2 linked regions of the Drosophila melanogaster genome follow. The protein of the gene in region 1 interacts with the protein of each later gene in a pairwise test. Each region holds a gene or a part of one and is shown on either strand. Other genes may lie near its edges.

What was found.
Region 2: the proteins of prtp (region 1) and drpr interact in binary tests that used the Drosophila melanogaster proteins (3 or more experiments, as listed by UniProt).

Annotation. Positions count from the first base shown.
Region 1 is NC_004354.4:11,713,160-11,721,623, reverse strand, and holds prtp (pretaporter), read right to left. Parts: upstream 4,869-8,464; 5' UTR 4,810-4,868; exon of another isoform or gene 4,804-4,809; intron 4,657-4,803; exon of another isoform or gene 4,575-4,656; 5' UTR 4,551-4,574; coding exon 4,360-4,550; intron 3,635-4,359; exon of another isoform or gene 3,392-3,634; coding exon of another isoform or gene 3,390-3,391; intron 3,257-3,389; coding exon 2,854-3,256; intron 2,793-2,853; coding exon 2,136-2,792; 3' UTR 1,730-2,135; downstream 1-1,729. Other genes in the region: Tango10 (transport and golgi organization 10), read right to left, coding at 1-425, 597-962; amun, read left to right, coding at 8,060-8,464. UniProt on the Drosophila melanogaster protein: Possesses thioredoxin activity. Acts as a ligand for Drpr and is required for the phagocytosis of apoptotic cells. Binds to the extracellular region of Drpr and augments Drpr tyrosine phosphorylation.
Region 2 is NT_037436.4:1,726,523-1,733,065, forward strand, and holds the start of drpr (draper), read right to left. Parts: upstream 4,586-6,543; 5' UTR 4,003-4,585; intron 1-4,002. Other genes in the region: Oseg4 (outer segment 4), read right to left, coding at 4,806-4,998, 5,067-6,543. UniProt on the Drosophila melanogaster protein: Receptor which is involved in the phagocytosis of a variety of cells including apoptotic cells, severed and pruned axons, degenerating dendrites, salivary gland cells, germline cells and bacteria.

The DNA.
Region 1 (8,464 bases):
GGCGTGAAGGAGAGCGTATATTGCAGCCAGGACACAAGATAACCGCTGGTGGCCGCCTTGGCCACGTGCTTGTTCATGTAGTCCACGCAGAGATCGATCAGGTCGCGTATATTGTACTTGTCGCTCAGCGCCAGCATTGGCATCACCGTCTGCAGCGTGACCTCGATTTGGCCAACGTATAGGTACTTGATGAACTGCGGAAACACCGCCGAACAGCAGGCTTCCTCGTGCAATTCGATCACGTGCTTGCTGCACTCGTTCCACTCCGGATTCATTAGCATCACCTGAAAGACGTCGCTGCTGGCACAGAGGATGACGCGGTGGGCGGGAAACTCCTTGCCGTCCACCAGTAGCACTATGTCCGACATCAGCTGTTCGGCGTACAGGTTGGCGATCTTATTGAGCACACTATTCGCATCGATCATCTAGATGGGTAAGATTTGATCAGGATTAGGGCACATTCTCCCAGGATCAACTTGACTTAATACTATGGTCTGAGCTAGTCCCCACTCATAGTGGACAAAATCAATAAATGTTGATAACACACTTGGCTGGTAATCTGGCAAATAAGATCACATTTTTGGCGTTGTACCCACCGTGCTGGCTTCATCCTGGCCTTCTTCCGTTTCGCGACACTTGCGCCGCTTGGCGTCCAGATCCTCGCTAGAATTAAGTCCTTTCGCTGGGCTCTCGCTGGTTCCATTGGCATTAGCTTGGTTATTAATGGCTGCATCACCACCTGCTGCTCCTCCAGCTGCCTCGCCAGCCAGGTCCGCAGCAGCTGCTCCGCCCCCGGGACCCCCGCCCGGACCTGCACCAGCACCTCCACCGCCAGCCCCGCATCCGCCGCCACCGCCAGCACCACCAGCACCATCAGCGCCACCAGCCGCTCCGTGCGCACCACCAACACCGCACACTCCACCGGAGACTGGCGCTGCTCCGCCGTTACCGTTGTCGTTCATCGGGAAACGGGGATATTAGGTATAGACTGGCACCCGGCTAGGGATTTGTTCTGCGCTGACAACGTGCACAAGGACAACCTACGGGACGGCTTCGTAAGGACGAGCCAAAGACACGGCAAAAAGTCTCACTTCAAATGCAAAAACAACGACAGACAGATGCAGACACGATACGATTTATATCGCAGCAGCAGTGTGCCAGGCATGGATTGCAAACAGCAGGGCAGACCGATGGCACTTCATATGCGATATATGGATGGATTCGTCGCATCCGTAATAATTGTATTCTTGTGGATCCGACAAATGCAATTTCATTTTCAGTTGTATTTTCCCGGGTTCCGCAATTTTAGATAAAAATAACACAACATTTAATTAAGTGCCATATAAATACATTTATCCATTACGTAGATCTGGCAGCCCAAATTAAAATACTTGAAACTTCCCGTTTTCGATGACTCGACTAGATCTGTAATCGATAAATTGTTATCGACAACAGCGCGCGCTGCTAAAATTTCAAATCAAAAAAACCTGTCTGCTCCACTATTAAGTGGCATCAAAATCTAAATGGATTTTAAAGTGTGTTAAACAAATATTTAAAGAACGCCAATAAGTCAGCTTAAAAATTTGCATACTCCTATTTATTCGAAAAACCCACAAACATCTGTTTTTTAGCTCTTCTCAGAACATTATATAGTGGTTTTTCCCAAACAATTATTCAAATAAACCATATTGTACAGATAATAATAAAATACTTTAAACAGCAGCCTATTGTTTTCCAATTGATATTTATTAGCTTTGTGTTGACAAATTTTCCTAAAACGTAGGCTACTCAAAATGACTTTAAAATTGAAATGTAAGTTCGCTAAATGGCTTATCATCGCGCACACAGTCCCGTGCCCCATTTACGTAAACACTAAACAAATAAGTATAAAAAAAATTCTACAAAAACAGCTAAGGAAGAGGGACAAAAACGAAAAAAAAGTAAAAGGAACTCAGATTGAATTTATCAATTTCAGCTAGCGCGTTGTCGTTTGGGTGTTGTTGGATATATTGATTAAATGCGGACTCCTCACAGAGGTTTATGCTGGAGAAAGAAAAATTACGATTACAATTAATTTGGCGGGCGATTATTTGATCATTCGACTACTGCTGATTCCCTGTGAACCGGCAGATGCTTTAGAGCTCGTCGTGGCCGAGGAACTTCTTCAGATAGGCCTGCAGCTCCGGCAGTGAGCGGCTGCCTTCGTACTCGTTCTGGCGCTGACCATTCTTGTAAAGGAAGAGAGTTGGATAGCCCTCCACCTGCTGGTCGATGCACACTTGCTTGTTCTCCGGCGCCGTGCAGTCAACCTTGGCAATTTTCACGGAACTCTGAGCCTGGTGCGTTTCCGTGGCCAGCTGCTCCCAGGTGGGTTGCAGCTTCTGGCAGTGTCCACACCACGGAGCATAGAACTTAATGAAGGCAACGCCCTCGGCAATGGCTTGGTCGAACTCGTCCTCGCCAGTCAGCTGTTGTGGAGTCAGCTTCTTGGCTGCGTCCTCCTCGCCGGCAACCTCCTCGATAACCACCTTCTCATCGCCGGCCTCGCCAGCGGTCTTCTCCAGTGGCACGCCCACCATTTTCTCCACGTACGTTTTCAGCGTGGACAGATCGCGAGCACCCGAGTACTTTTCAATCTTTTTGCCATCCTCGATCCAGAGAAGAGTGGGATACCCCTTGACCTCAAAGTCCTGGCAGATGGAACGGAACTGGGTGCAGTCGATCTTCGAGATAGTTACGGTAGGCTCTTTAATCAGCTCCTTGGCCAGGTCCTCCCACGTGGGTGCCAAACGCTGTACGAAAAGGATGCCACAGTTAGGCATTTTAGGCGAGAAGGCATTGTATTCGGCTTACCTGACAATGACTGCACCAGGGTGCAAAGAATTTGACAAAGTGATTGCCGGTGGACACGTGCTTGGCAAAGGTGTCTTCGGTAAGGTCAACCACCTTGCCAATATTAAGGTTCTCGACCTGCTCGCGCTTGACCTCGCCCAGATCCGCCTCAGCGGGTGCGCTCAGTTCCTTATTGATGAAATCGGTAATGGCGGGCAAGTCGCGAGTGCCCTTAAACTTGACCGATTCCTCTTCGCCCAGCTTAAAGAGGCGCAGTGTGGGATAGCCGGTAACCTGGTGCGTGGCGCAGAGTCCCTGGTGCTTGGTGCAGTCCACCTTGGCGATGATCACCTTGGGGTTATCCACATTCATGATCTCGGCCAGCTGTTCCCACAGCGGCTGAATACGCTTGCAATGGCCGCACCTACGATTAAAAGATGCCATATGAAATGGATACGAATTCTGTATGACGCACATCTAACAAACCATATTCAACACCTAATCTATTGCGATTAAATTGATTTTGAAATAGGAATCGATAAATCGGTCAAACTCACATTGTTTTCCCCGTCCAAATACAAAGGAACACAAAACAATGAACAGCGATAAGACTTGGCGCTTTGTCCCGAACAAAGAGTTTATCATCTGGTTGCTAGAGCCGCCGAATCGCATTTCGAGCTTCCTTAAACTCCCTCCTCTAATCGCAGGGCACTTTCTAGCATCATAATTGAACCTAATCAAATTAGCTCATAGGCATTGCGATGGCTTCTTGATAAGACGTGAGAGCCGGGCGCTATGAAAACTATAATAGTTGCCGAAATCTGGAGTATTTAGTTTGTCAATCAAGGGGGACACCAAAGCCCCTTTGATCGTCTTATCGGCGAACGTGCGATTTGCTCGACAGACATGACGAATCTTCAATTCTCCGGATCTTTAGTTTTTGACCAAATTGCCGGGGTCGCGAATTTATGTCACTCACGATCGTCAGGTAAATTTCTAACACGCCGAAATATACAAATTTTAACAAAATGTATGTTCTGGTTTTCAGATTCCAATTCTTTAGGATTTATGAGGGTACATATTTCGCTATTTTTGCAATAATATGAATTTCTCTATTGGAAATAATTGTTTTTTTAGGATTAGCAGTTCATATTATTAATACTACAAATAAAGTTGGCAATTGTAAAATTGCTAAATAAATACTTATTCACGCTTTTTAAGACCATTTAGACCATTTTTGGTGAGCTAAATTTCATTTATGTAAATACTTGTTGATTTTTAACAGGCATAGGCTAATCTGTTTCATTACAAGAAAATTGCCAGAAATTGAATGAAAGTGAAAACCAAAACACCCACTGATAATTATGTGTGCGTGGCTTGGTCACATAAAATAGACGACCTATGTGGACCGCCGCGATTCGCCGGCAAAAGTTGGCCAATTTGGGACGGCGATTTTTTATTTCGTTCAGGTTGTAAGCGCAGGGCGGAATGGAGGGGTTGAGGAACCCAAATCGAATTGCAACTCACCATGGAGCAAAGAACTTGACGAAGACATTGCCGCCGGCAATCGCAGTGTCGAAGGTTTCTGGGTCCAGTTCCACGGTGAACTGCTTGTCCTGTTTGCCGGTGTCCTCCTCCTGGGACGCACGGGTGATGGGCAGGAGGGGCGACAGGAGGAGGCCACACACGGCAACGGATAAAATGGACCTGGTCAACATGATGCACGGAACGCTTGGAGAGATCTGAAAGTGTTGGGGGACCACGTCCGGATACAAAATAAAATTTCGATGAATAGGACTAGAGATGCCAAAAAGGGCAATCGATAGACAGGCAAGGCCAGCTGATCATCGATTTAAAAAAATATACACATGTTGTTAAGGGGAACTATATATTAATAAATAACAATGAAATGGAATTATGTTCGTTTTTTTTTAAGAATTTAATTTTTAGTCACAAAAAATATATAAGTACAAGTACATCATCCTCTTCAAGTTTAAAACAGTCTGGCACCGGTAAAAGGTTAATCTGGCAACTTTGAACAACCACTTGTGTGTATTGGTGCGTGAACAGCGAGAATGGCAAAATACAAAAACGAGCGAGTCGCACACACAGAGACGTAGTTGATTTGGAAAGGGGCCTGTGCGAAAAAGTTGCTTGTATACCGAATGATTAATACATACAGCTGTGTCATGGCAAAGAGAGAATACAAATTCAACCACTACGAATTCGAATGTCGCTCTCCAGTGGGGATTTTAGAAAATGAATCATTATAAGTTTTAAAAAATACTCGAATTTATAATTCGAAAAACGGGTTTTGCAACAGGGAAAGCGGGAAAATGTCGCAAAACAGATGGGCATCCGCATCGAGTATCGATGCGATATATCGCACGCATATCGCCGCGAGAAAAGGAAGCTATCTGGGTCTAGCCGACGTTTTGATGCTCTATAGTGGAATATTTTCTAATAAATTAAATTTCGCTTGATCGATTTTGCAGCAATTGATAAAAGCTTATTTCAGTAGATCATCAAATTGGAAAGCCAATCGCACTGAAGTACATATGAAACCATATAATTGATCATATTGATAATGTATTAGATAGGATTGCCGCTATCTGAAAAAGTGATAATGCTCTATACAAGGGTATAATGAACGAATGGCAGGCACATGGAAGCCACAAACAGAAACAGCAAAATTGCAGCTGCTATGTATGTTGCTCGACGAATAGGGTAAAAACGGCAACAGCGAATGATGGCGGCAAAGGCAAACGAGCGATAGGTGAACTGAGGGGCGTACCTGCGGGGGGATCGAACTTGAGTCGACTGTTAAGTAGGGTTCTGTTTTTTAAATATCAAGTTGCCGCTCGACCGCTCTCTCAGCTTAGACTTTGAGTAGCACACGTGTGTACTCGATTATGGAACCAGCAGCTGTTCTCGAATTAGTTAATGCTTGAACGCTGGAATAGTTTTGTAATATTTTAGATATTTATACATGTATAGCTACCATTTGATCACTACAGTGTCATCTGTAAATGCTCCAACCCTCAAACCGCTGAGTAATTAAGTACATTATTTAATATGTATGCATTTTTAATAAATGCGCAAGTAGACAAATTATATGCACTTAACTGCATGTAAGGGCAACTTTTTAACCAACCAACAACATATGCATGAATTTCTATCGCTCTTCGTGCTGAACCATAAATAATTTCGGTTCGCGCAAACAAGTCAGTAAAATTCAGCAAACCTGACGCACCCCCTCATGAATATGAATAATGACACGACGCCGCTGTCGCTGGCAACTGGCACAACAAAAGCAGCGAACATGCAGTGACGCGCTGTTTACACTAGAATATCGCGAATTCTTAAATTATTAACAAGTCTCACTGGAGCCCAACCCACTCACAAAACCCATTCCTTTTTGATTTAATTGAAGGACCTGAATATAGAGATAACTATTGTTAAAAACATTCTGCTGTTTGTAAAAACATGAAACATAATTGCACTAACTAAGCTAATAAGGGTAAACATTGCTAGAATATAGATATTTGTTACTCGAAGTTTCTATAACTCGAACATGGGTTTCGGTAACATGGATGTTGATCGACAAAGCCGCGTTTATGCCTCCGCTTTAAACAGGTATTCGTGTAATGACGCACTGCGCATAAACGCAGCGGCAGAGGCGATGGCAGAGCGGCGGCAGAGAGCACGGACGTCGCCGGCAAAATGAAATGGAACGCCGAGGGTGCCAGAGAGATACAGATACATTCGGGCACCGAGTGCGGGCGAGATAGAACGACAACTCCTGTTCCCGGTTCGTCGTCGTTCGTCATTCCCATATTCGCTTCTCGTATTCCCTCCCATTCCCATTCGCAATCCCAATTCCCAATTCCCGTCACACGAGTTAGCAGCACATCGCACAGCTGCATCGCTCCGCTCCGATCCTTTTTAATTTTTTGTTGTGCCTTCGGTGGCGTGCTCATTTCGAGAACAGAGTAACCCCTTTTTATTTGTCAGTTGTCAACGGCGCCCCTGCAGGCAGAAAGCAGAAACTGAAACAGCAGAGGAAGAAGAAGAAGCAGCACAGCACGGGCACAGCACGAAGCACGCAGCACAGCACAAGCACAGAGGCGAAGCGAAGCAAAGCAAAGCAGAGGCAACACAGAAAAACAGCAAAGCATTGGAGTAGTTGTTTGGATGTGGACGGAAAGGAAGACTGGCGGCGACTAACTAAAAGGTATTTGTTGTTCACCCACTCATCTGTGTGCGTGCAGTGCGCTAGTGAAAAGCTGTTCTCACCGTTTGCCAAAAAGACAAGAGGTACGAAAAAAGCACAAACAACAACAACAGCGAAAAATAGTAGCATTCGTTTATTTAATGCTCGCGTTCGTATTTTTTTTGAAAACCTAGATGAAAAAGAAATTTTCTGCTGCTGCTGTTGTTGCCTCAGTATATAAGTGTGTGCGTGTTTAAGTCAGTGTGTGTGTTGTGTGCGTGTTTTTGCCTGTGTATGAGCGCCTGGCTCTCTTTGGGTGTGCGAGAGCGAGTGTGCTGAGTAAGTGTGTGTGTGTCCATCCGTGTGCCTGTCAGTTTGACTGTGTGAGTGCATGGCGGACTAAAAAGAACCCGACGACAGCACTGTAAAAATTCGATTTGTGTGCTGTGCAAACGGCGGCGGAAGCGAGCAGATTTTTGGCAAATAGTGAGCGATTATCGGATTGAGTAAATACAACAAACAACAGAGACACGGCCGCAGCAGCAGCAGCATTAACAGTAATCAATCGAACTACCTCCCTATGCCACCGCACCGATCCCCCTTGCATATGTAATCGTAACTGTAAACCTAATTGTGTGCCTCTTTTCTTCTCTTTTCATCCACTCTCCTTTGCGTTGCTGCTTCTTCGTGCTCCCTCTCTCGCACTCGCATTCTCTCTGTCTCTCACGTACTCGCTTCTTTCTCGCCGGGAACTCTCAACGCACGAATAGCAGTACGTTGACAGGAGCAGCTCGGAACGGACAGGAAAAGCAGGAGACTAAACAGTAAGCAATAAATTGATTTGGCGTATAGTAGCTTACACCAAAGTACATATATTGCCGCATATATAGCCAGCCGGTCACTTGCGGATCAGCCAACGTCCTGGGCCCCAAGGCGATAGATACCACGATAAGGAGATACAGCGATACCACCAATCATTAGCAGGCGACAACGACACATCCGCATCCGCAGAAGATGTCCAACGGCAAGGCGACGGTCTCGTTCTTCGAGACCGGGAGCACCAAACAGTTCGAGTACTGCTACCAGCTCTATCCCCAGGTTCTTAAGCTAAAGGCCGAGAAGCGCTGCAAGAAGCCGCAAGAGCTGATCCGCCTGGATCAGTGGTATCAGAATGAACTGCCCAAATTGATTAAGGCACGCGGCAAGGACGCGCATATGGTATACGATGAGCTCGTCCAGTCGATGAAGTGGAAGCAGTCGCGCGGCAAATTCTATCCGCAGCTATCCTACCTGGTCAAGGTCAACACACCGCGCGCCGTCATCCAGGAGACAAAGAAGGCCTTCCGCAAGCTGCCCAATCTGGAGCAGGCGATCACAGCTTTATCGAACCTCAAGGGCGTTGGCACCACAATGGCCAGT
Region 2 (6,543 bases), on another chromosome or scaffold:
ATGAAGCACGGGCCAGCCATGTCTGGTCAGTTGGAAAGTACGTACAATTAACTGGGGGATTGTCGTGATCCACAATCTATATTTATATTGCAAAGATAATTGTTGGTTTCATTTCTTGCCAGCGAGAAATCTGATTCACTTAATCGCACGGCAGGTGCTCCCTTAACTCATCAGAAAGTGGTGTTTGTCAAGGCCGTCATTAGCAAGAAATCGCGTGATGAACTGCCAACGGCGCCAAATAAATTTTAAACGAGAAATTGTTCGAAACCCAGTGTTAATAGAACGTTCACGTTTTAGAGCAGATCGTGAATGTGTTCGCCCTCTTAGATACATATTACAATCCTTAAGATAGCCGAAACGATAATATACAACTGGGGCAATATAACCTAAAGTAGAAAGAGATAACCATTTGGCATACCCCTCGACTTTGCTCAAGATTTTACAAGTGATAAGGGTGGATGATAAGACCGCCGCAGTCATTCTCATCCATTACAACAGCGATGAGGTTCACTGATATTTGTTCTGTTGTAGGTGACTAATTCAGTCTCTCTATATATAAGCAGATCCACGGAACGGAAGGTGCGTAATCCGGTCATGGACAAAGACTAATAGAATAATACCAAATCATCCCGTAACATCATACAAATTTACGATGGACAACGAAATCGTGTGAACCAAACAATCCGGTCTAATTTAATTTGCAATTTGAATGCTAAATCTTTCATTTTAACGATTAGCAGAGTCCACGTTTTTCAAACAAAGTATAAACCTTTGGAATCAAAAATATTAACCATAAACTAGGGTGTTACTCTAACCCATTGCCATTAAGTTTCATTTTGCCACTCAATCTTCCCTTCCGCATATGTAGATCATATTAAAATGCGAACTTGCACGAGACAACGAGCTTACATTTGCAATTTACTTATTTGTTTACATGCCTGATTGGTGTTTTAATGAGCTAAATGAATATGTCGTGGATGAGTCACCTTAGGTTAAACAATGCTAGACTATAGTCTATAAACTATACGGATCTGTTAGTTGTATGTATAATAGGCGAGTGTGCGAGATTTTTCAATGGAAAACGTGTTCGGCACAGTTTGTTTTATCGAGTATCGAATCCATGCACCATTCATCGATACCGCATACCCAGCATCTGTTCCAATGCTGAGTCACTCGGATTTCATTCACAAAAGTCTGGCTAAGGCTCGAACTTCGGGTCAATCTACCGCTCAATTCGCAGGTTTGTATTTCAGACCTTTCCCAATATGTGTGTACTTTTGGCACACCTCATATTTATCATACCTCGCCCTTATCTGCGCCCAGTATTGGACAAGCAGAAACAACACGATGAGGCACACTGATAGTGGTTCTTAATCGGAAGGGGTCAACGAAAAGTTGAGGGAGAACCATAAAATGTTAGCAAAGGTAATAGAAGATTGATTAGAAGTAAGTTGCGAGTCCGTTTCCGCTGGCAATCTGTCTATAATGTATACATATGTAGGTACTTATATATGACTAATTTCCTGATTTTCGATGAAAGCTTTCGAAAGAAAAAAACAAAACAAAAACAAACCAAAGAAAATCTGCGAAATACTTTCGGACTAAGGAGAAAGCTTTGTTGTTAAAAAAACTCAATGGCATTCGTCTATTTCATTCAATTAGAATGATATGTATTTTATAAAGTATAAGCATTGCCTATTTTCGTTCCAATTAAACCTCCATCAGAGCTAAGAGTAGGTCTTATATTCTTCAAGTTGTGTGTATATATTTTGTGATGTATTTTCAATTGATTCAGCACAGTGCATATGTAAACATCTGGATTTGACTTGGATTACTATAATCTTAAGCATAGGGGGAAAATGAGCCAGCTATTCCCCCAACTTCAAGTACTGCGCACTTGATAAAGGCTAAACAAAGATTGTCGCTTCCCGCTTTATATAAACAGAATTATTCTACAAAGGAGGAGCCCTCACTTGAGCTGTACTTTGGATAGCGAAATCAAAGTCGAGTTTACTGAATCCACAATACACATCTCCAATAACCGCAACGCATATGTTTGGCGTTCAGTGGGCAATTTAACGCCTTGGCGAGGCGACAAAGCACATTTGGCAAAAACGATTATTAAGAATAATAAACGATTTCAATGGCAAGAAATAGATTTGGTATAAAAACAAGTTGTTCTGGCCCAGGAAATGAAATTATTGAAAGAATATCAGTTTGCACGAGGTCTAGGGTCTTACATTTGTGAACTACGTAAATGCTAGGCCAATCAAAACTTTCAGTGAACAGTTTAATTAAAGCAAAGAGGCAAAGGGTTCTCAAACGTTATTATTTTGGGATGGATGTTAGCTGCCATTATGAAGTATCAGTGAGAAACAGTGATTTCAGCTGTTTCGTATTCATTTCACAAGTGAGCCAAACACTCAACACCTCAGTTTGTATTGGCCAATTAGCGGGCGAAGCTCGGATTTCTAGCCCGAATTTGGATAGAGCTAGAAGCTTTCTCGATTGATTCAGCGAAGAGAACCGATTTCAGCTGAAAACCAAGAAAACATGTGTATATTATTCTAGTGGAAAGGCACCCACACATTGCAATGCAGACAGACGAACAAGAATTAAGCATAATCATCAGCAAAAGCGAAATGCACTTGCAACAATACGGAGAAAGCAAAGAAAAATGTTGGATAATGCAAACCCAAAGCGAAAAGATAGAGAACAGAGAATGTCGTAATCATAAGGGGAAAACTAACATCCCGACTCATGGGTTGCTCTCTAACCACCGCCACATTGGACAAGAAATCCCAGGAGGTTTCATCCCAGCCACTCCCTGCCACTCCTCCACCCAGCATTATCAATAAAGCTGAGTAATCATGGCGACGACAAAGCCCGGCTCCATAAAGGAACCTAAACAGACATTGTGACATGTACGGCATGGTATGATATGATATGATACCGAGGGTGGGGAGAGTGCACCTCTGAGTGCCATTTCAGTTTTTAATTTTGCAATGGCTTGTGGGACTTTTCGCTGTGCATTGCATTTCGAAGCTCGTGTCCTAAGCAGGCGTCATTGTTCATTAAATCACGTATGATAATAAAAATCAAGTTCCATTGCCAGTGTCAGAAATATAAGGTTAAGCTTAAAATCGCTTGGTTAAGGAAACTGTGTGAAAAATAAAAATGCTTTGTATGGGAAATATGATCGCAGTTTATTCCATACTTATTTAATGAATTCTATAAAAAATAAGAACGGTTTCTACATATATCTTAATTTGTGTGCACCCCCATATTCAGAAGTAATATGAAATATCGCTGAACTGATACCTTAATCAGTACTCATAAAGAATTAAACGCAAAAAAATTTTTTGCGACTTGATCTAAATTATAAACGGCTATTATTGTTATTTATTTTCGTGACGATGCATCGACTGTATTTTAATGTGTGCGTTAGTTAGGCAATTTCGATGTGTGTGAGTTTATGCTGGCTGGGTTTTCATTTGATCCGTTGGCGTTGTTGTTGTTGCGGCTGTGACAGCTGGAAGCTTCAGCAGCAATCTGGAAACTGGAAAGAATCCACAAGATGCGGGTTTCCAGGGAGCGAGGTGCTGGTCGCAGGGGGTCGATGAAAGAGAAGTTTGCCGATTTGCTGCCAATTCCCCGAATGACAGATATAAAGATACATGCATGAGATACAAAGAAGAAGAAGTCGACGAAAGCGCAAAACTAAAGCCAAAGAAAGGCCATTAAATTGTGCGAAAGAGAAACCAGAACAGGTTTAACTGTTCTTGGTGTGCGCCCGATAAAAGCGCTAATTGACACGCACACAAGTGCACTACTGCGGTCATAAACAAACCGCTCGTTGGGAAAGAAGAAAGGTGGAAGGGAAAGAGAGCTGACAAAGCTAACCAGGCGAAATTGCACATTTAACAGAAGAAAACTTATTTTTAACAACATAACAATGACTAAAATTAACGTTAAACTGCCACGATTGGGGTTAAAACTCACCTTGGCAAGAAGCACGGTGTAAACTGGTTTTCGGTTCTCACTCAAAACAAACCAAGAATGCACTCGCAATCGAATTCCACTCAATTTACACGTTTACGAAACTTTGGCCATTAAAACCTCGAGAGGATTTGTATTTTTAAATGCTTACAGCACCTTACCACATATATATATAGCTATATATATAAATTTGCTATTGTTTTTACTTTCTCACCATCCACAAAAACTTGTTTTCGTTGTCGCTACTCTCTATTTTGGCACTCTACTCGCAACTGAGCTGATTTAGCAATTAAAATGCAACCTCTTTAAATAAAAACAATTACTTTTCGTGCACTCCACTAACGACAACAATAAGGACAAACGGGCGCGACGCACAACAACGCAATTCTTTAATGCACTTAAGTATTTTCGTCGGTCAATTGGAGCTCGTTTGGTTTTCGCAAGCACCGCAATTACTATTTACTTTATTTTATATTTGCGTACGCACACCACCGCACGAAGCAGAAATTTATTTAACTTATTTAAAATTCAGCAAGAAACGGACAACCGACTTACTTAGCTGCACTCGCCAGTGTGACCGCTTTGCGAGTGTTGGATGAGCTAGTAGTGTGGCCCTAGCGCACTCCCCAGGAAATACTCACTGTGAACAGTCACTCTTTCCACTTATAACACTTTTCACTTGAAAATAAATTTGAATTCTATCTTAAAACTACATTGTTTATTTGCGGAGTAGATACGCCTGTACCACCTGGGATAAGCAGAATGAAAAACAGCTGGAGTAATTAAAACACTAGTCCCCGCTCATTTCAGATCTCCACCGTCATGGACACGATCAAACTGTGGCACAGTGGGCAAGTTCGGTGCCTGGAGATCTCGGTGGGAGCTGCGCAGTGGTGGCAGGTGGTACAGATCCATATGTTGTTCGTCGGCTGGGTGATGGGTTTCCCGGAGGAGATGCACGCCGGGAAGCGAGCATTGCACTCGGGGCAGGAGGGGGAGCTGAAAGGATCGGCATTCCATGAGTATCATCATTATAATCCAGCTTCTGACGTCGACCCTTCACTTACCTATCTGGCACGGGCACTCCGCAGGAATAGCAATCCACCCTATCGCCAGTGGTGTCCTCCGGATCGTACTTGGCGAAGATCCCAGCCGCCAACTCCTCGTACCGTTGAAGGGTAGCCTCGGGAAGATGAGCCTGTTGCTCCAACTTCATGAAAGCCTTGGAGCAGGTTCCGAAGGCCCGATCCGCACAGCTGGCCAGTGCCAACAGGCTGTAGATGTGCTCTGGAGGCAGGACGTCCTCGTAGTCGCGCAGCCTCACCGCAGTGACCACCGCACTGTGGACGATCCCGAAGCGAAGCTGCCTCTGGGCTAGGAGCATGAAGTGGTAGGCCTCGGCGCAGTGCCAAAGCCTCTCGATGGCGGCCGCATCCTCCAGGGCAATGGAGTCCAGTAGGGTGTTCCTGCCGCTGGCGTAGTCGATCTCCGTCGTGGCCACAGCCTTGAGGTGCTCCTCGGCCAGCAGAGCAGCCAGCACGTACAGCTTCTTGATTCTCAGCAGCGGAGCACGCTTCTCTTGCTCCCGTTCCGCCATTTGAGAAAGCAGGCGAGCTGCATCTAGATGACGCCCAGCATTCCGCTGCATCTCGATGGCTTCCTTGAGGCGTCCCTCCTGGAGCAACTGTGCCGCGTGCTTGGCTATGAGCGTTTGCACCTGGGGCAGCTGGAACCTCTGGGCCAGCTCAACAGCCTCGCCCCACTGCCGGAGATTAACGCAGGTGGCGACGGCGGCCTTCTGGTCGCCGAATCGAAGATGGGCTTGAACAGCCTCGGAGCACATGCCCACGGAGGCCAGCATCTCGGCCAGCTTCGGAAGCAGCGGGCTCTTCTCCGGTAGCCGTTCCACGCACTTTTCCAAGTCGTCGAACTGCTCCAAGTGGTACAGAGCCTCCATGTAACCCTCCAGGTAGTGGGACTTCTCGTAGTATTCCCTGGCACTCTCCCAGGAGCGCAGGTTGGCGAAGTGGTGGCCAATCTCCCGCCAAGCGATCTCCATCTGCTGGTCCGACACTCCCGATCCTCCCATTCTGTACAGCTGCACCACGCGAAACCAATCGCAAAGGGTCATGCGCAGCTCTATGGCCAGATCGCGACGATCCGCGTCCAGGTAGAGCTTCTCCGCCTCCTCGAACTCTCCGTAGAAGGCTGATATCTCCGCCCTCTGCAGCTCCTTGGAGTGTATGGTGCGCAGTCTCTTGACCAACTTAATGCCCGGGTAGTGGGCACAACGGACAAAGGCGTTCTCCGCCGTCTCCAGTTCCAGTTTCTTCAACGCAGACTCCGCCAGCAGTCGCCAGAGCCTCGGATGCGGGTTGTCCTCAATGAACTGCTTGGCATCCTCCAGTCCCACGTGCTCCAGTAGATCGTCGGTATCGCGCAGGGACTTTACCCTCAGCTGAATGATATGCGAAAAATTCTGCAGCTCACCCACGCTGATTATGTCGTCCAGCAGGACACTGGTGATCTCCAAGTCCTCGAAGG